Linked DNA regions of Mus musculus. The protein of the gene in region 2 purifies or fractionates together with the protein of the main gene of each other region. This does not show direct contact. Links are inferred from orthologs where the notes say so. Each region holds a gene or a part of one and is shown on either strand. Other genes may lie near its edges.

Region 1 (4,198 bases), on a different chromosome or scaffold from region 2:
CCCTCCCAGTGCCTGTCTCCCCACAGCCTCCTGTCCCAGGTTTCTTTCCCCCCTTACCTTGACATTCGGCATGTACTTAGAGAAGCGCTCATATTCCTTGCTGATCTGAAAAGCCAGCTCCCTAGTGTGACACATCACCAGCACAGACACCTTTGAGGGAGCAAATGGAGACAGACACAGTAAAGTCAGCCCCTCGTCACAAGAGCATCCAGCAACTTGTCAGTGATGTTGGCGAACATTCCCCTTGAACTGCAGAGGACACCAGCTGAGAACACATGGAGCCAGAAACGGCCTCCTGGTGATTCAATCTCCACACCCTCTCCAGCACTGCCCCCAACATACCTGCCCAGTAACGGGCTCCAGCTGCTGCAGTGTGGCCAGGACAAACACTGCTGTTTTTCCCATGCCTGACTTGGCCTGGCACAGGACATCCATCCCCAGAATGGCCTGCGGGATGCACTCATGCTGGACTAGGAGGAGAAAGGAGAGACATTTTTGCACCGTGCCAAACCCCTTTCTCCCCAGCCGACTCATCATATGTCACCTTGTCACCTTTCAGACCCCATCCTTTCCCTGACCCTCATCACTCTTACACTCAAGTCAAACCCTCCTACCCCAGCTCCCCAGTTCCGCTAAGAAAGAACCCTCGTGAAGCTACCAACAGCTCACCTTCCACGTTCCTGGCTAAACTTACTTTTCTTACACCGCAACAATCTATGAATTCGACTGCCACAGGCCATTTCTCCTACATAGGTTGCTGTGCTTTTGGGTCATGTAACCCTGCAACCTTGAACAAAATGAAGGACTTGGTACCTGACCCAGAAGCCACAGAAGCCAGCATCCTGATCGTTAAGGTTTCCGGAAACGACACTTGGCCTGGCCCAAAAGAAGGGAACTAAAGGTCCAACCAGGCCCTCTCTGGGAGTCCGAACAGTCAGAAAGACAAAAACCAAGCAAAAAAGCCAGGCACAGAACAAATGGCAGCCCTCTGTTTAACGGAGAACAAAAGCCTCTTCTACAGCTGCCGTCTTGGGTACATTCTCAGAGCTTGGCCTATCCCAAATAAATTCAAATCCTATGACCCTAGACTTGAACCTCCCTTTTCTTGCACCAGAGGTGCTAAATAAGGTCTCTACACCCAACAATAAAATGTACCCTCTGATGGATGCTCAAAGCCACAGTCAACGATGGCCCGGAGCAGCTCTGGCTTGAGTAGAAAATCTCGGAAGCCGGAGCTGTGGATGGAGACGTAGGAGCCCTTGACGTCTTTCTTGGCGGGAGCCTCGGTCCCATCTGCCCCAGCGGCTGTCTCCACCTCGTCGTCTTCGTAGTCCAAGAGCTCATTGTCCACATCGTTCTCTGCCATAATTGGGCCGGCAGGGGGAGAAGGGAGGTCTCTTGAGTTAGGTGTCCCAGAGCAGGTGAGGAAGCAAGGGCCAAAGAGAGGGGTTGAAGAACAGCAAGGGGAAAGACACCAGTTTCCGACAGAAGAGCTGGGAGAGGGGACAACAAAAAAACCGGAAAAACTCATCAGTCACGAATGGACTCGTCACTTCTCGTCGATCCCTACACCCGTCCTATTCTTCCCTAAACTGTGAAACCTTTGTCCCGAAAGAAGAGTTAACAAAGAGACTCATGACATAAGAAACGGGAACACCAGACGGGAGAGACAGAGTGGGCTCCACCGCTAACCAGACTTTGTAACACACACTTCGACAGGCAGGAGCCAACTGGGAGACCGCAGTAAAATGAGCGTGACTAACGACTCACACGAGGGTTGAGACACAAAGGACAAGGGAAGACAGAGACTGCGCTTTCTCCTGCCACCTCACGGTGGTGATCCCCAACGTCAGCCATCAGTCAAGGGTGATAGATAAGGGTCAGCACTGCGCAGAGCGCTCACTTCCCAAATGCAAACATCATGTGGCTGCCGCTATTCTCTTGCTCAGAAACCCCCGAGTGGCCGTCCCAGCGGCGCACACCTGGACCGGGGAACAGAAGCAGGAAGGAGGGTGGTGCGGGGCGGAGGGTGGGAAGTGTATGAATGGCTCCATTTCAAGAAAAAAAAAATTTTTTTGTTTTGAAAAAGATGGGTGTGTGCAGTTCAATGGCAGTGCTTGCTTAGTAACGCGAGAGGCCGCAAGGTTCGGCTCAGCGCTGCCAAAGTTAATTTTAAAAGTCGCACTAAGGAATTAAGGTCACAGCTGAGAACGATGCAGGATTAAGAGTGTGAGCCGGGTGGCCTTAGAAAGGAACGCCTTGCAGTGCTCTCGGAAAAGCTTCCCCAGAAGTGCGCGACACCATCGGCCACGCACAGAGGCAGCCATTCACAGAGAGCTCCAAATAAGGCAGCGAAAGCGGGGTCAAAGGGCTGGACGGGCCCCGGAGCGAGATCTTCCCATCCCTGGGCGAGCAAGAAAAGGCCCGGAGGGGAGATGCGAGGGGCCCCGCCCTCCTCCTGGCGCCGCCTCCGGCCGCCGCGGCCCCGGGTGGGCAGAGGACCCACTGGAACACCCAGGAAGCGCGGAGACACAATGGCGGCCGAGGCCACCATTTTGGATCGTTCCCCCCTTGTCTCCCAGCTCCCCGCCAAGATCTGCTCTCAGAAAGGGGTGAAGACAACAGAACTGGACGCCCGCCTGCGCGCCGGCGGCCACGGCGCCGGCCCGGCACCGGGTATCAGGGACCCGCGCGGCGGGGCGAGCCGCGGGAGAAGCAGATGGCGGTGGATGGTGCACAGGGCCAAAGCTTACCTAAGCACTGCGAGCGTGTATGGCGGCAGCAACGGGGACGGAGGCGGGAAGCTGCCTTCACTTCCGGTTCCAGGCTCGCCCCGGCCTCCCGCCTTCCCGGCCGCCAGGGCGCACGCGCAAGGAGCCGGAAGCAGGCTTTCGCCGCGCGCGCTCCGCGGCTGGCTTTGCAGAACGCCCACTTGAAATGAAGCTTCAGACGACGCCTCCTCCGGTCGCCAGTAGCAAGAGCGCGACAGGAAACTCACGTCTTCCCCCGCAGAGCTCTCCATTTTGTTCTTCTACGCTTATGCAACACCCTCCGACGGTCGGCTCTACTTTAGTTTTGTTTGCCACGCCAGGCTTCTCCCTGGGCACCTCTCTGTGGGCATGGAGGACTCCGCGATCGAATGAGAAGCGTTTCTCACGGGGTCCTTAGCCTCGTAGTCAAGGTGACCCGAGAGCGGCTAACTCGGGCCTCTGCTGGAGGGGAGGGGGACACGTGACCACGCCCATTACAGTCGTGCAGAGAATAGGCAGGATTTACCCAAAATTATATCGAAAGATGGAGGCTTACATTCTGTCTAGGTGCTAAATAAATGGTGGGGTTTGAGGTTATGCACCTTTCCATAATTCTTGCTAACTAGAGCAGCAGAATAATCTCAGTTCCATTATTCAGCCTGGACATCCCCCTCCCCCCATGTGGTATTCCCTTTGAGATGTTACATATAGCAGAAGTGTTGTCCTGTTGCCTTGCTACATAAACACAAGCTCGGGCTTTCCCTATTAAGGACACTTAATATTAATACAAAGTAACACTAAGTATCAGTGTTGCCAACCAGCTGGCTGTGTCCTGCTCAACGCATAAGCTCTCTGGGCTGGGGCTTGGTAGCTTTTGATCCCTCCGCATTTGGCAGCCCTAAGCAGCAGGCCGGCGGGTTTTGTATAAATCAGAGAGGAGTGGGAATTCCTCGGCCCTGGTAACTTATTACGAACTGTAGCTCCAGAAAGTGCGGTACCTGGGCCTTTAGCTTTGAAGCGTTTCCAGGAACTCTCCTAGTGACCTAGTTGGCGGGCTCTTAGCCACTGTCTTCCTGTTACTGGACCTAATGTGACATTGTGGAGGGTAGCATAGTAAGGTTTGTCCCAGCTGACCCAAGTGAGCCAAACTTTCTGCTTTACAGCCAGCAAAGGGTGTTTGCACCAAACACAGCAAACAGCAAACTCGTGCAAATGAAGACTTGTGTTTGCACCAATCATAATATTGTCCCTTTGGCATCAGTGATAACACATCTTCCTGCTACTGGACTATGGGAAGTTCCACCCTCCACTGGGGGAGGAGAGAGAGGACAGAAACAATCCTGGCTGAGCCATTAGCTGTGTGGTTTCCTCAAAGACTTTATAGAAGATTCAAAATGGCCATGCTGACAGTCCTCGTTAAGGTAGCCAGGGCAGGAAGGGATTGTCTT
Region 2 (3,645 bases):
GCCAATGGCCCTTGTTCCAGTGCCCAGCACCTATGGCTCCAACAAATCTCCTACTTTAATAAAATTTACTTCATAAAAACAAAGTGTTAAGCCAGATACGGTGGCTCACACATTTAATCCCAGCACTTGGGAGGCAGAGACAGGTAGATCCTTGAGTTTCAGGCCAGCCTGGCTTACAGAGCCAGTTTCAGGACAGCCAGGGATACACAGAGCAGGGCTACCCTGCTTTGAAAAACAAAAACAAAGCACCCTGTTTGTTTTTATATGTGGAATTCCAGAGTTAAGTAAAAGGGGAGGTCAAAAGGGGAAGGAAGGGGATGTGTGAACAAGAGGAGGATTAAATGGGACCCAAGTGCATCACAGGCATGCAGGCTAACAGTGAAATAAAGACACACTAACAAACACAAATGTAAATGAAATTCCCCCTCAGTCAGTAAGCTGCTTTTTCATAAATTATTTGTTTAAAAGGAGCTTTGGCATTATTTGAACTCGCTTCTAGTCAACAGCTAAGTTTTACTCAGTAATTTCATCATTCTGACCAAAAATCAATACCAAAGATCAAGTTTACCTTTTGTAGCAAATCTCATGAATAGTCTATTTCCTTTAGCAAGTTTGTTAGCTGGACGAAGATCATTTCGTAACAGAGACTCTTCTTCTACCTGAGACAACGTGTCCAACTTAAAAGACAAAAAAAAAAAAAAAGGAGAACACTTTCAACATAAAACTCCAGCATTTTTCATACTTTTTCTGTGCAGTTCCCATTAAGAAGCCTTCTGCCCATCAGTGTCACAGCATCTATTCCTACGGCGACTCTGAAGTCAGGGTTTCCTTGACTAACTCGCCTAAAAAATAGTCCCCATCATTTTCTATCTCCTTTATTATGAACACTTTTTAAAAATTATGTGCACAGGAAAGTGTCTGTGTGGAGTTATGTGCACATGAGTTCTGTCTACAGAGGACAGAACAAAGTTGGCTACCCTGTAGTGAGTATGACAAGCAGTCGTAAGCCATCCCACATGGATGCTGGAAGTGTAACTCAGGTCCCCTGCAAGCACAACATGTACTATCCCTGCAGCCCTTAATCTCTCTCCCTTCACCCTTTACAGTCTTCAGAGTGCTCACTGTGTCTCCTAGCAGCAACTGTGTATCTGTCCTCCCCTCTAAAATGCAGCCTCCAGTGAGGCAAGGGCCTTTAAAAAAAAAAAAAAACCCTGATAGTTTGTTCCCAGAATTTGGTATATAGTAAACACTTACCATTTAAATAATTCAACATGAAATGAATATACTTAGCTGAGGGCACAGATCAGAAGCACAGCACTTGCCTAACATGTGCAAGCCCCCCACCTCTAACCCAAATATTTCAAATGAACACTCTCCAACATTTCTGACAAACACTACTTGTTTTTTAGATAACACTTCAAAGTGTTTCTTATTAAACCCATTTTCTCTTCTACACAAATATGAACACTATTCTAAGACTCCAAAATGAACTGTTACATCCACACAAACTAAAAGGCTACATGAACATAGCTTACTAAGTCTTTACATCTGACATTTAAAAAGACAGTAAGCATTATTTTTTTCCAATAAAACCTTAGATATCTTTGCCCTATTACTAACCTCTACATCACTTGAATTCTCATCTTCCACTTCTCCTTCTTCAGTCTCGTCGTCATCTGAACTGTCTTCCTGCTTGTCTAAAATGGAGTGTGAGGGACAAGAGGAACCTTAATGTAACCCCATCATAAACTCGTAAAGTTTAAAAAGCCCAGTGTTCCCTATTCCTATTAACTGATAGACCCAAGTATCATAGTTTACCTCAGAAACATCTGGTGAGGCAGTATTCACAATGCTCTATCTACTCAAGGCCCTGAACAGATCGGTGCACAGGGCGACATCTGGTGAGGCAGTATTCACAATGCTCTATCTACTCAAGGCCCTGAACAGATCGGTGCACAGGGCGACATCTGGTGAGGCAGTATTCACAATGCTCTATCTACTCAAGGCCCTGAACAGATCGGTGCACAGGGCGACATCTGGTGAGGCAGTATTCACAATGCTCTATCTACTCAAGGCCCTGAACAGATCGGTGCACAGGGCGGCATCTGGTGAGGCAGTATTCACAATGCTCTATCTACTCAAGGCCCTGAACAGATCGGTGCACAGGGCGGCATCTGGTGAGGCAGTATTCACAATGCTCTATCTACTCAAGGCCCTGAACAGATCGGTGCACAGGGCGGCATCTGGTGAGGCAGTATTCACAATGCTCTATCTACTCAAGGCCCTGAACAGATCGGTGCACAGGGCGGCATCTGGTGAGGCAGTATTCACAATGCTCTATCTACTCAAGGCCCTGAACAGATCGGTGCACAGGGCGGCATCTGGTGAGGCAGTATTCACAATGCTCTATCTACTCAAGGCCCTGAACAGATCGGTGCACAGGGCGACATCTGGTGAGGCAGTATTCACAATGCTCTATCTACTCAAGGCCCTGAACAGATCGGTGCACAGGGCGGCATCTGGTGAGGCAGTATTCACAATGCTCTATCTACTCAAGGCCCTGAACAGATCGGTGCACAGGGCGGCATCTGGTGAGGCAGTATTCACAATGCTCTATCTACTCAAGGCCCTGAACAGATCGGTGCACAGGGCGGCAAGGGCCCTCTTTGTGCGCAGTTACCTTTCTTGTTCTTCTCCGACGACTTGTCTTCACTGGCATCTCTGCTTCTCATCTTATCCTGGGCTGGCAGAGAACTCATATTGATGAGAGCTCGTGTGGCCGTCATCTCGTCCAGCCAAACCACATTGCCTACGATAGAGCATCAGCACACCCGAGTGTAACTTCCTGAGAGCAGATTTGGCATCAGGTTCACTGCCACAGCCTAACTGGCTACAAAGGCTGTTGGTCAATATCAAAACCAGCTCATGAAAAAAGCAGACAATGGTGGCAAATGTCTCATGAATGTCCTCCAGAGCTACATTCCCAAACCCAATTCCACCAATAACTATTCTGAGCAAGGAACTGCCTGAAGCCAAATGTGGCAGCACACACTTACAATCCTAGCGTGTGGCAGGCAAAGGCTAGCGAATTCCCAGTGCTACGCCAGGTGGGGCTAGACTAAGACTTGTGAACTTTTTTCTCCTAGGCTAAGGACAAAAGTTAAGCATAGGCAGTTTGGGCAATAATTATTCACTATCAAAATAGCAAGAACTCCTTAAAAATCATAAACGAAAGCATACTACACCGAAAATGTAGGTATACTTACAGGAGGTGTCATCCAACCACTCAATGTGAGCTGGAGGATATTCCTTAAAATAGGAGAAGATATCCTGGGTGCTCATTTCATCCACTCCACAAATGTAGATTGTCTCCAGTCTCACCTTGGGAATTGCTAAAAAACAAGACACAGAATTTTCCTACCTGCTATTTACAGCTTGCTAAGAATTTTTTACCATGGTTTAGATAATGATTCTAGAAGAGGAAGAAACTGAAACAGTAATAATTTCAAAAGAACACAGAACAAGAGGGTAGGGTCGACTTCTTAAATGTTTATATTGACCTGCAATAAGCAAATGATGGGATGCAGAATAGTCAGGTAGGACTCAGATAGAGGAAGGGGTTAGCACCAACAAATAAACAAATAT

What was found.
Region 1: the proteins of Ncbp3 (region 2) and Ddx39b purify together in Homo sapiens (co-immunoprecipitation; 4 studies listed by BioGRID and IntAct, with this or other methods). This does not show direct contact. The link is inferred for Mus musculus from reciprocal best matches to the Homo sapiens genes NCBP3 and DDX39B.

The regions. Positions count from the first base shown.
Region 1 is NC_000083.6:35,240,408-35,244,605, reverse strand, and holds the start of Ddx39b (spliceosome RNA helicase Ddx39b), read right to left. Parts: upstream 2,861-4,198; 5' UTR 2,754-2,860; intron 1,929-2,753; exon of another isoform or gene 1,852-1,928; intron 1,790-1,851; exon of another isoform or gene 1,771-1,789; intron 1,494-1,770; 5' UTR 1,367-1,493; coding exon 1,156-1,366; intron 532-1,155; exon of another isoform or gene 471-531; coding exon 343-470; intron 151-342; coding exon 58-150; intron 1-57. UniProt on the Homo sapiens protein: Involved in nuclear export of spliced and unspliced mRNA. Component of the TREX complex which is thought to couple mRNA transcription, processing and nuclear export, and specifically associates with spliced mRNA and not with unspliced pre-mRNA.
Region 2 is NC_000077.6:73,064,735-73,068,379, reverse strand, and holds part of Ncbp3 (nuclear cap-binding protein subunit 3), read right to left. Parts: intron 3,393-3,645; coding exon 3,267-3,392; intron 2,810-3,266; coding exon 2,681-2,809; intron 1,698-2,680; coding exon 1,621-1,697; intron 678-1,620; coding exon 569-677; intron 1-568. UniProt on the Homo sapiens protein: Associates with NCBP1/CBP80 to form an alternative cap-binding complex (CBC) which plays a key role in mRNA export. NCBP3 serves as adapter protein linking the capped RNAs (m7GpppG-capped RNA) to NCBP1/CBP80.